Linked DNA regions of Daphnia pulex. The protein of the gene in region 1 interacts with the protein of each later gene in a pairwise test. Links are inferred from orthologs where the notes say so. Each region holds a gene or a part of one and is shown in the gene's direction. Other genes may lie near its edges. The genes, in order: epidermal growth factor receptor kinase substrate 8-like, E3 ubiquitin-protein ligase Su(dx)-like and peripheral plasma membrane protein CASK-like.

Evidence for each region.
Region 2: the proteins of epidermal growth factor receptor kinase substrate 8-like (region 1) and E3 ubiquitin-protein ligase Su(dx)-like interact in a two-hybrid assay, tested with the Caenorhabditis elegans proteins (2 studies listed by BioGRID). The link is inferred for Daphnia pulex from reciprocal best matches to the Caenorhabditis elegans genes eps-8 and wwp-1.
Region 3: the proteins of epidermal growth factor receptor kinase substrate 8-like (region 1) and peripheral plasma membrane protein CASK-like interact in a two-hybrid assay, tested with the Caenorhabditis elegans proteins (4 studies listed by BioGRID). The link is inferred for Daphnia pulex from reciprocal best matches to the Caenorhabditis elegans genes eps-8 and lin-2.

The regions. Positions count from the first base shown.
Region 1 is NC_060018.1:7,750,168-7,753,145, forward strand, and holds the end of epidermal growth factor receptor kinase substrate 8-like, read left to right. Parts: intron 1-1,113; coding exon 1,114-1,305; intron 1,306-1,378; coding exon 1,379-1,547; intron 1,548-1,634; coding exon 1,635-1,770; intron 1,771-1,850; coding exon 1,851-2,079; intron 2,080-2,170; coding exon 2,171-2,274; 3' UTR 2,275-2,461; downstream 2,462-2,978. Other genes in the region: DEP domain-containing protein 1B-like, read right to left, coding at 2,711-2,860, 2,926-2,978.
Region 2 is NC_060026.1:2,733,817-2,738,228, forward strand, and holds the start of E3 ubiquitin-protein ligase Su(dx)-like, read left to right. Parts: upstream 1-1,540; 5' UTR 1,541-1,892; intron 1,893-1,973; 5' UTR 1,974-2,079; coding exon 2,080-2,173; intron 2,174-2,237; coding exon 2,238-2,382; intron 2,383-2,443; coding exon 2,444-2,600; intron 2,601-2,671; coding exon 2,672-2,820; intron 2,821-2,899; coding exon 2,900-3,223; intron 3,224-3,290; coding exon 3,291-3,446; intron 3,447-3,509; coding exon 3,510-3,618; intron 3,619-3,694; coding exon 3,695-3,861; intron 3,862-3,941; coding exon 3,942-4,070; intron 4,071-4,201; coding exon 4,202-4,412. Other genes in the region: alanyl-tRNA editing protein Aarsd1-B-like, read right to left, coding at 1-82, 156-222, 284-414, 486-602, 665-783, 861-1,113, 1,179-1,307, 1,378-1,416. UniProt on the Caenorhabditis elegans protein: E3 ubiquitin-protein ligase which accepts ubiquitin from an E2 ubiquitin-conjugating enzyme in the form of a thioester and then directly transfers the ubiquitin to targeted substrates. Ubiquitinates klf-1.
Region 3 is NC_060018.1:1,069,620-1,073,787, forward strand, and holds the start of peripheral plasma membrane protein CASK-like, read left to right. Parts: upstream 1-1,217; 5' UTR 1,218-1,362; intron 1,363-1,733; 5' UTR 1,734-1,751; coding exon 1,752-1,810; intron 1,811-1,874; coding exon 1,875-1,987; intron 1,988-2,047; coding exon 2,048-2,153; intron 2,154-2,224; coding exon 2,225-2,302; intron 2,303-2,366; coding exon 2,367-2,542; intron 2,543-2,610; coding exon 2,611-2,786; intron 2,787-2,872; coding exon 2,873-2,995; intron 2,996-3,072; coding exon 3,073-3,262; intron 3,263-4,150; coding exon 4,151-4,168. Other genes in the region: ATPase family AAA domain-containing protein 2-like, read right to left, coding at 1-41, 104-460, 522-752. UniProt on the Caenorhabditis elegans protein: May play a structural role in the induction of the vulva. May be required for the localization of signal transduction molecules (such as let-23 receptor) to either the basal membrane domain or the cell junctions.

The DNA.
Region 1 (2,978 bases):
ATGTTAAGTCTCGTTCGAGTAGTCAGTGATCAGAATTCTCGCTATAAAATACGATTCCAGATCGGTGTCCATCTCTTTTTGCCTTCCGTTCTTTTGTCTTATGTCAGTTTCAATTACTCGTTTAGGTTTTTGTTCTTATGTGCATTCCCTTTACATAGTAGAGTCTCAACATCCAATTTGTTTGTTTTCCCATATTTTGAATTTTTATTACGCTTGATTGAGGACACTCCCAAAGACGGTCGATGACCCTTGCATAATCTCCATTCTTCTCCTCTCTCTTAGAGTTTTGTATCTTTACGATTTTTTTTTCTCCACCATTTACATTTGACTTGTGTACGAATACTTGCTATATAGGTGCTAATCGTTTATGTGTGTCTCTCGGTTGATGACGCCCAACGAAATTTGTGCCGTTGTGCTGAGTGTGTGGTTGACGAGGCTGACCGTAAAAAAAGAAAAATGTTGAATGCTGTTCTCGTGATGGAAAATATACCGTCCATATTATTCATATTATACGTTTGTGTGCCCGTCAGCGTGCGTATATATGTCTTTTGCGTCTGTTTGTCCATGCGCTACGTGTAACCGCTGCCCGCCGCTCTCTCTCTCTCCTTCCCGCTTCGGTAATCCTCTCGCACTTTCTACGTCGTACATTGACGGAGTTTCGAGTCTCGCGTGAATTATCAGCGACGCTCCTTTTGATTATTTACGTAAAGATATGGCAGCCAAAAGACGAACTCGTACGTGTATTTCACAGCCACTTCGCCACGGTCCAGCTGTGACCAACTGCAAAGTGCCGCTGCCTATACATCCATGATACGTCTTACATGTGATGAATAATTCTAACCCCAGACGTGGCTTTCTCTTTTCTCAAAAAACAAAAAGGGAAAGTAGGCAGCAAGCATCGCAGTTAGTTAAGTAGCCAAAATTGTTAGGAGTAGAATGTCTGAAAGTTTAGCTGTTAGCGTTTTGGCTGAAAGTTGGTTTCGGATCTTAATTGGCCACAAAGTTGCCGTGTCGATGGTGGTCAGATGTAACTCAGACGGATGAAAGGATGGAAATATGCACCCTCAGACCTACGATCGTTTTCCTAATTACGAGATGGCTATTTGATGAAAGGTGCTGACACCAGCGATAGCTACAGCGAGGACAGTGACGGCCTGCCGGCCAAGAGCCGCCGACAGAGACGTAGAGCCGAGTCGGTGATTTCTATTCCGCCACCACCTCCACCTCTACCGCCCAAGGAGGTTGAAATCATAAAAAAACCAATCAAAAAGGAGGAAGCCATTAAACCGAAACCTATGACAAGAAGTATTAAAAAATGCTAATATCTTGTTAAATATTTAAAAAGAGAAAATGTTGAAACTGATTTATTCTTCTCCAGGCCTCAGCAGTCAAGACATGATGGTCGAAGAACTGAAGAACCTATTAGACATTTACCAACCGGAAAAAAATAAATTGGATATTCGTAAAACTCCCGAAATGTACATTACACTCAAATCAACTCCCGACGAAGTTCGCGATTGGCTCAAAGCCAAGGAATTCGATATTGTGTACGTAATTCATTCAATATGATAGACATTATCCAACAAAACATTAGAAATCTAAGCCATGTTTTAAAACACACATTTAAAAAATAGGATTCAGAAGCGTTTGAATGGCATGAGCGGTGAAGAGTTGTTTAAGCTGAAAAAGGCAGATTTGGAAAAGTACTGTGGCAAAGAAGAAGGTCATCGACTGGATTCACAGTTAACTCTTCAGCGCAGAGCATCAGGGGTATTTACAGTTTTTCATTAGTTTCCCATTAATTAACCTTTGTTGCAACGATAATGAAATTTTGTTATTTTATTTTTTAGTATCAAACAATGCGTTCATCTGAACTTCAAGAAGCATTAAAGAGAGCCCGAATGAAAACAGAAACCAAGAACGATCAACCAAAGAATCCTACCAAAAAAGAAGAGGAACGATCGCGCTCCTCTGAAACAGGTGGATCGCACAACAAGAATGATCGTGACTCCTCTCCGACGGTCCAGAAAGCACCGAAGAAACAAACCAAAGCCAAAGCACCCCTGAACTTAGACAGCGGTAATAAATTTTATTCCATTTGTGAAATGAAAATTTAAGCGGCCAAATAATCCATACATTTTCACGAACTTTCTTCTTTTGAAATATGCAGACTATGATTCCGATGACGACATCGTCATCCCAACCGGGACGCTACGTGACATTATTCGCAAACAGAAAAAGAAGATGCAAAGCACTAGTAGCAACGACGACTAGAAAACCTAGATTATTTTTTTTAAATATTTCTAACAGAGTATAATAAGTTTCCTTGAGAATTATGCTTTACTATATTATCTTTACTGTACGAAATTCATCGAATATTTAGTACTATATAATTACATGGATCAAAGTTGTTAAAATTGATGAAGCAATCTTAAATTTTAGAAATAGACGGACAAATGTATTTCCAGTATTATGCTTATTAAGAATATTCATATCAAATGAAATATTTTTGATTAATCCCCATCCTGAATATGTGGATTTCAAATTAGTAGGCCTACTGAGCTCCTTGAGCAAGCCCCAATGGGTTTGGATACCATAGTACAGTATTTAAACTGACAATACACGTTAACAGCATTGAAAGTTAGTCAAATTAGCAAGGGAAATCTAAAAATAGTTAAAAAAATATACGATCGTCATAATATCATTAAAATCATGTAAGACGTAGGTTGCGGATCCGGGAAAACACGGTGGACTGGTTGCTTGAACGCTTTTGACCCTGCAATTGATGTCGCTCTTCCTTAAATATATCCGCTTCCGTGGGAAACTTGCTTCGGTAAATTTCTGGATAGGCAGCTTGAAACTAGAAATGGCAAAACAACGGAGTTAATTATTTTCGATTCTATAAATATCGAAATGTTGATCTACCTGCTTAAGCCTCTTTCGTTTCTCCTTGAGCGGCATATTTTGATTATTGACTA
Region 2 (4,412 bases), on another chromosome or scaffold:
GAACAATCGAAAATTTCGGTTTCTCGGTTTTAATTTTCTCTGCCTGATTGACAGCTAATTCTTTCATCAAAGTTTGCAAAGTCTTAAAAGAAAAGAAAATTTTTAAATTAATCTACAGTCGATTAGGATACGGAGAAGTTCAAAAGTTGTTTTACCTTTTGTGATAACTTTACTGAGGCTTGTAATTTATTAGCTAAATCGACATGATCTTCAGGTCCGTTTCTGAAACGAGCAAATGAGTTAATCACTTGTCATTTCAACAATTATTTTAAGCATTTCATACTTCAGAATTTTAGTCAACTGGCGCTCCCTGTCAAGTGAACGATTGATGTAATCTAGCACTCGATTTCCACTTATAAAGAAGAGGTTGGTCTTATTTTTTTTACCCTTTTCAGCATAAAGCAGCTTTATGAACTAAATGAAGTATTTTAATCGATGGTTAATTATTGCTTGTACTATTGGGGGTAGTAAACTGCGTACAATACCTGTAAATGACTAAGGTTGGAAACGTGAGTTCCACAACACATGTTGCTGTCTACACCTAAAATAGTTACGACGCGAACAGGACCAACGTGGTCATCGGGAAGACCTCTAGAACGGACCTACGAACCCAATATGGTTTTCTTTAATTTAACTTTAATGTCAATTAAAGTAAAATTCTTACTTGGTCGGGTATCGCATCTCCTTCGTATACTTTTACTTCCACAGAGACAGCTTCCCTGATTTTCTCATTCACTTGGCTTTCAATGGTTTTTAGTTGGGCATCAGTCAGATTTACAGTATCTTGTAATTTAATATTAAGTGTCAATCAATGATGCTACAGAAAATTCTGAACACAAAGTTAAGAAGGAAAAATTTACCTAATTCAATATGGGAAACAGATTCCCCAAGCCACCAAGATGTTGTTTTGAAACCAAATGAAGCATCAGCAATTGCAGTGATTAGATGCTGCCCAGAGTGTTGCTGCATATGATCCCACCTTCTCTCCCAATCAATGACACCTGTAGCTAGAGTCCCAACATCCAGGCTGTCTTGTAAAAAATGGATGGCATCCTTCCCTCTTCTTTTGACTTGAAAGACAGGGATTCCGTTCAAGAAGCCTCTGTCATCAGGCTTTTGACATTTGAATTTTTAAAACCAATTCTATATGAGGATGTGTAATTTAACGTAAAAATTACCTGGCCTCCACCTTCAGGAAAAAAAACGGTATCTTCCAATAAGACTTCAAATGCTTGTACTTTCTCCTTTTTCCCCTGGACGAGCCTCTCGATCTGACACGGCGAACAAGAGACGACTTTGCTCGTAAACTACGAAACACCATACTGATCATTAATAGGATAAGAAAATACAAATACCAAAAAGGAAAATTTATTGAACCTCTTTCTTGTACGGTGATTTTTGACATTCAAAGACCATCGTAGACTTTTGGCAAATTTTGCACTGTTGTTATTTTTTTTTTCTTTCTAGCAGACAAAAATACAATCCATCTGTTGGCAATATTTACAACTTTGAAGAAAACACTAAGAGAAGAAATTGGCAACAGTGTTTTAAGCCAAGAAAAAATGGTGACTTATTGCAAAGACTTGTAGTCTTGTACTTGTGTTTTGTGTGTTTGCTATAATTGCAGCTATAATTTTATCTCGTTCAACGGGAAATACCACCAGAGTTTCTAATCTTTATACTGCCTGCTTGTATTTCGGTTTATTGACATTTTAAAGAGATAATTTTACTTTCGCGCTAATACTCAACTGAGCCCTGTAGGTGTATTTTTTTGCTGTTTTCACTTCACAGTGACATTTTTCTAAAGTCCTAAAGCCTGGTTGTTATAAAGATTATAAATTAATTTCAACACCGAAACATCATTCATGTTCCATGTAGCAGTGTGGATGCAGGTTAGTGGTTTGCATAGCAAAATCTTTATCAGTGATGACGTCAAAAATCAGTACTCATCTTATCTCTTAAATTTTTTACAGGTTCCTGTTCTGATTATGGGCTTTGATAGTATTGAAAACACCAGATCAGTTTAGTATCTGGTGTAGTTCTGAACTACAGCAACGTCCAAGGTCTGACCTCCATGAAATGGCTGAAACTGTTGCAGCTGTTGTAACCAGTTCCAATAGCGCAAGCTCTAGGAACAACAATGACTCCCACTTTCATCAACTAAATCTCTCAGGTTCAATGCAATTGATATTTAATCTTTACATTGGAAAAGTTCTAATCTGATTTATGCAATATAGTTCTAAAGGCCACTGTTGACCCAGTTTGCATAACAAAAAAGCCTTCACCATATGTTGAAATCTTGGTTGATGGGAAAGTGGTTTGGAAAACTGAGGCTGTGAAGAACACACATGATCCCACTTGGTCTTGTGAATCCTTTACTGTGTATGTACAGTTGCTATGATTCAGCACATTTGCAAGTGTCTTATCTTATTTATTTTTCTAGTCTTGTGAAAATCAATTCAAAATGTCTACTGAGGCTCTACAGTCATTCAACTTTCAAGCGAGATTTGGTTCTAGGAGAAGGCAGAATAGATATCCAAAAACAACTAGTACGAGAACAAGGGAAATTTGATAAAACCAGTCTTGTTCTGGATGTTAAGGTAAGCCTCATACTTGATTACTAGAAAAACACAAAACAAACAAAATTATTCAATATTTCTGGCATCAATAGGGAGAAATAAAGAATACTAGCATTGCATCAACGACAGAAGCAGCTAACGGTCGCAGCTCTAAAGTGAAGATTGGAGAAATTTTTATTGTGATGGACGGAATGAGGGTAGATCCAAAATTGTTGACAGGCAGTAGTCGAAGCGCAACGAGGTAATAATGTGCAGCGTTCAAATGGAAGCGAGCGATTCATCATTATAAATCTGTGTGCTCCCATTTTTTTAATCATCAGAGTGAACGGAGAAACAGGTGAATCCAGCTCAACCGCTGAGATCCGGACGAACGGTGCAGCAGTAGCTCCTGTCACGAATTTGACCACGGGCGAAAATGGTGGCGGAGCTCGTCCTCGTACCCGATCGAATGATGTTGAAGCCGCCCCCATTCCAGCAGTAGTAACTGGTGTTCCATCCAGGACACCCAACGGAACACCGCAGCAGACGCCGTCCAGGACTCCCAACGGGACAGTGGCAGCACCGGCTCCGAGGACTGAAACTACCCCAGCCACGACAGCACCTCCGGCTGCTCCACCTGGCCCCGAAGAACCTCTTCCGCCAGGGTGAGTTGATGCTGTTGTTGTATCACATCCATTTGAAATGTAACTGACGTTATTTTGTCTTCATTAGATGGGAAGTCCGTTTCGATAAATACAACCGGCGCTACTACGTCGATCATAACACGCGGAGTACGACGTGGGAGCGCCCGCAGCCTCTTCCGGCCGGATGGGAGATGAGAAGAGACCCTCGTGGTCGAGCCTACTACGTGGATCACAACACTCGATCGTAAGTTTATTTAATGGTTTCAACTTTTTCAATTAAATTAATTCGTATTTGTAAATTAACCAGGACGACATGGCAAAGACCGAATGTTGAACGTCTGCAACATTACGAACAGTGGCAAGGCCAGCGAGCGCATGTTGTTCAACAGTGCAGCCAGAGATTCCTATTTCCACAGGTAGTTGATTCATTGATCATTGAGCTAATCGTGACGTCACTTGCATTGATGTTGTTGTTGTTTTTTTCCTAACTAGGGTGGAGGAGTCAGCACCGGAACGGCGGTGGTGACGGGTACGGAAGAGAGCGATCCGCTTGGACCTTTGCCAGAAGGCTGGGAGAAACGTGTCGAGCCTAATGGCAGGGTCTACTTTGTCAACCACAAGAATCGCACCACACAGTGGGAGGATCCGAGAACCCAGGGGTGTGTCTCTCACTTGTCAATTCATCGAAATCCCTCAATCAATCTATATCTCATTTCTTTCTTTCTCTGATTCATTTCAGGATGAACCAAGAAGATCCTTTGCCTCCCGGCTGGGAAATGCGAATCACGGACGATGGTGTTCATTATTTTGTGGATCACAATACCCGGACGACCACCTTCCAAGATCCTAGACCAGGCGCAACTAAAGGGTATGATTATGTTGTCCATCATTACTGCCACAACGTGTTCTATCCAGCTCGCCCGCTACTTGAAAGTGCTTTTATTGCTTTGTGTGTGTTAATTGCTTGTGTTTTTTTTTTCCTCATTGCGCTGGACGCAGTCCGAAAGGTGCCTATGGCGTTCCCATCGCTTACGAGCGCTCATTCCGCTGGAAGCTATCTCAATTCCGCTATCTGTGTCAGAGTAATGCCTTACCATCACACATCAAGATCACTCTCAACCGGTCGACGCTCTTTGAAGATTCGCACCATCAGATTATGCGCTTGCCCGCCTACGAGCTCCGCAGGCGGCTGTACGTCATTTTCCGCGGC
Region 3 (4,168 bases), about 6.7 Mb from region 1:
TCTGCTGCTGTGTCTTCTTCTTTGATTGCAGCAGGATATCCCTAAAAATTCAGCAAGTGTAAATCTTATAACTCTAGTCATGAGAAAAATTCATAACACTAACCTTGACATTTTTTTCAGCAAATATCCAACTGTCGTTGTAAGTGTACATTTGTCTTTTTGCTCTCTGGCTCCTGCGAACACCATCATGACTTTCATCATGCTTCTCAGTTTCACTTTCTGCAACAGAAATCTTTCTTTGGTTTGTACTGTTTACTTCTTCATCGTGACTTTCTTCTGCACTGTTGAGCTTTGCTTCTGCTTCCTGTGAAGTTTCTTCTGGTTCGACCAAGACTAGCCTCTTTCTCTTGCCTCCTCCACTTTTCATCACTTGACGTTTTGACAATGGAGTATCCTCTGAAGAAATTTCGTTGACAAACTGGCCTCTTCTAGAATTAGATCTTGATGAACGCTGACCAGTCTGGAAGCAGAAAAAATTATTGAAAAAAACACTACTATGCCTATTGAAAATGTTTTCTTACCAAAACTGGTGACATGTTGGCACGATCTGCTGAAGGAGTTCGCTTCATTTGAAGAGCTGAAAGGGGCCGAAAGGGTACTTTACACTCACTCTGCTCATCTTTGCTCGAAGAGGAATCTTTTTCAGAAGAATTGTCATCGTTCATAGTTTCTTCATCATCATCCTCTTTGTCCTCACTATCTTGACAGTTTGCTCCGTCCGAAACATTAGGAATTTTACCTCGGGTAAGCATTTTAAAATTTACCTTAAAAAACTATCGCACTTGTTATGACAAGTCGTTATTGACACGCTTAGTGAGTTAATCGTAATAAACCGCCAATTCTTTTAGGACAACAAAAGCTCAACTTCACTTTTTCCACGGTTTAACGAAAAGGAGGAAGGTTAACGAAGCTTGTTCTGACCACGACCTTTAATCGGCGCAAAATGGTGGCTCACATTTAAATTTTCAAAAGAAAAAATGAAAAAACACAGAAGAACTAAACTGTTCTCTAGGAGAAAAGTTGCTCATTTCTCCAAGAAGATCAACTCACGATTGCTTTTTAACTGAAATCCCAACGTAATTGTCTAATTCGATAATAATCAAGCGCTTTTCCGAGACACAAAAATACAATAACATAGTGATCTTCAGGAATAAAATAGTACGCAGGGATTTCCTTAGAATGACACTAGAGGCGCTGCGGATAGCCTAGGCTGGGATCCAGGGAAAAGATCGAAGTAATGTCTGCTCTGTGTGTAATGGGCAAGGCAAGACGCTTCGTCCAAGAATGGCTTAAAGACTTGTTGTACATTTATTAGTTGCGTTTGTTTGGTGAAATTTTTCTGTTTTGGACCAAATTGCTAATGTAAGTACCTATCTACTATCAAGAATCAAAATCATCGTCGTTTGAATTCTCATATTCGTACCGGAGAAGGGGATGGGCGTTTTTTGGCAGCACTCACAGGAAACAGCATGCTAGTGGAAATATTATTATGGCAAGGGAAAGGGGAGGGGAATGTTTAGTAAACCTGCAATCAAATTCTTTTAGATATGTTTATTCTTTAAGGTTACTTTTCTATAGAAGGGTGTTTAGTTGCCATTTCCTTCTTAGGCTGAAAGTGAACCTGATAGATCAGGAAATGGTTGGTTGAACTCAATTAATGCACCCACACAATAAGAATGACAGCACTTCCTTTCTATTTCTTACTAACCTGAATTTGAATTCTTTCTCAACAGTGTTCTACAAGCTTCAAAATGACTGAAGATGATATTTTGTTTGATGAAGCTTACGAGTTACAAGAAGTTATTTGGAGGTAAACATCATCATTAAACTTTATCATTTTCCCAATAATTTTTTGTCATTAAATTAAATTTCAGGGGTTCATGCAGTGTTATTAGGCGCTGCACCCACCGGTTAACAGCACAACATTTTGCTGTTAAAATTGTTGATGCAGCCAAATTTACTGCCATTCCGTCACTCACACTTGACAGTATGTTTAAATGTAGATTTTTAACTTTACTAATCCCTAATTATTTCAAATTATTTTTAGATCTTAAACTTGAGGCCACCATATGCCACATGCTTAAACACCCCCACATAGTAGAGTTATTAGAAACCTACAGTTCTGAAGGAATGGTGTACATGGTGTATGAATTGTAAGTTTTTACACTCCTGCTTGTACATATGGGTAATGATTGACTGAATCTATTATTTTTAAAAAAATTAGGATGGAAGGAGCTGATTTGTGTATAGAAATTGTTAAACGTGCCACATCTGGTTTTGTTTATAGTGAAGCTGTAGCAAGGTAACCTAATTTACCTTCTTAAACGTAAGTTGGAATTACATTAACCTTTGGTTGGTTTGTTTAGCCATTATTTTCGTCAAGTGCTTGAGGCACTCCGTTACTGCCATGATCACGACATTATCCATCGAGATTTACGACCTCACAACATTTTGCTTGCAAATAAAGAAAATTCGGCGCCCGTAAAACTAGCGGGTTTCGGATGCGCTAAGCGTCTTACTGACGAAGATGTGGTGACATCAGGTCTGATTGTTGATGTTATGTTTTCCCATTCAATGTACAGTATTAGTTCAAGTATTAATTTTGTATAGGTCGATTGGGAGATAGCTTCTATATTAGCCCTGAAATGGCTTTAAATCGACCGCATGGCAAAGCGTCGGACATATGGAGTGCAGGAGTATTGCTCCATATTCTGCTGTCTGGAACACAACCTTTTTTGGGGACAGACGAATCCTTGAGATACACCATCTGCAGTGGCGAGCTGCACGTAAGTGGACATCGTAAATTTATTTCAAGGCCTTCTAGCCTAGATCCTTCTAAATTTGTCCGCATTTTTCCTGGGCAATTTTGCAGTTCGATGCTCCAGTCTGGGGAGCCATTAGTGACCACGCAAAGGATTTACTGCAGCAGCTTTTGTGCGTCGACCAAAACGATCGTCTATCGGTTCACGAAGCTTTGGAACACCGGTGGCTCAAGGTGAATTTTGAATTTTTCCTTGCCTTTGTGGACGTGACCAATGCAAAACCTGCTTTGACTGCTTGATTTGTATTCAGAATCGAGACAAGTGCGCCTCCAGAGACCACCTCCACCTCACCGTAGAAGAGATGCGCATATTCAATGCTCGTAGGAAGCTCAAGAGTTTGATCGTGGCCACGGCAAATTCCATCAAATGGGGGCATCCTTCTTTAGATCCCAACTGCGACGCCTTTTCCGATATTGATGAAGATGAATCAATATCCAACAGTAAGTCACGCACTATTTTAATAGTGACCTACGGGCTTTTAAATAGATTATTTTTCGATTCCCCTTTGGAGTTGCATGAATGTTTGCGGGGATATTGTATGTAGCAATTACGTCAGTTGGTGGATGTGTAGCAAGAGGGCGTTCGCAGGAACAAGAGAATTTGTGGAAACCGGATACCGTGAACTTCAGCTAGCTTTATTTAGATTTATTTCTCTTCATAGATTTGCACGACCAATCTTGATAACTTATTTTTAATTTTAACTTGCAATACGTGTTCCTCGATAAATCGGTGCCGTAATACGCAAAAATCCAATTCTTTCCAACCTTGGATAATAGTTGAGTTTTTGTTCAAACGAAATGCTAAATTTATCGCTCGTAAATTTCTTTCCGAACCATATTGAGTCGCTTTTATTTCCAACCGGGGGAATCCCATATGGTAGTCGTCTCCGGTTTCCATTTGCGGTTTAAGAGTTGTGGCTGGTTTACTCCATTGAAGAGGATTCCGCTAGTAAAAAAGGCTTTCATTGACGGACGGGGGGATCACATCCGCTCTTTTATTGGGGGATGGCTTTCGTCCTGATTGGATTTCATTGATTGGCACCTCTTGTTGGATGCCTGCCGAATGAAAGGAGAGCACATTGCAGGAAATTTACTTTTTATTACTTTGATACCAAGTAAATAAAACTTTAACACGTGAAAGCTTAAAGTTGGGTTTATTTTAAAATAGAAGTGTGCCCGCTAATTGATCGAATTCCTTTTTACGGATTATCAGCATACTGCATTTCACGCGTACTAAAATGGTTTTCTAGTATCCCTTCAACATGCTTTCGTGTTTTAAAGGATGCTGGTTAAATGTTCATTTTTGTTGTTGTTGTTTCATTTCGTTAGATGCTGTCAATGCTGTCC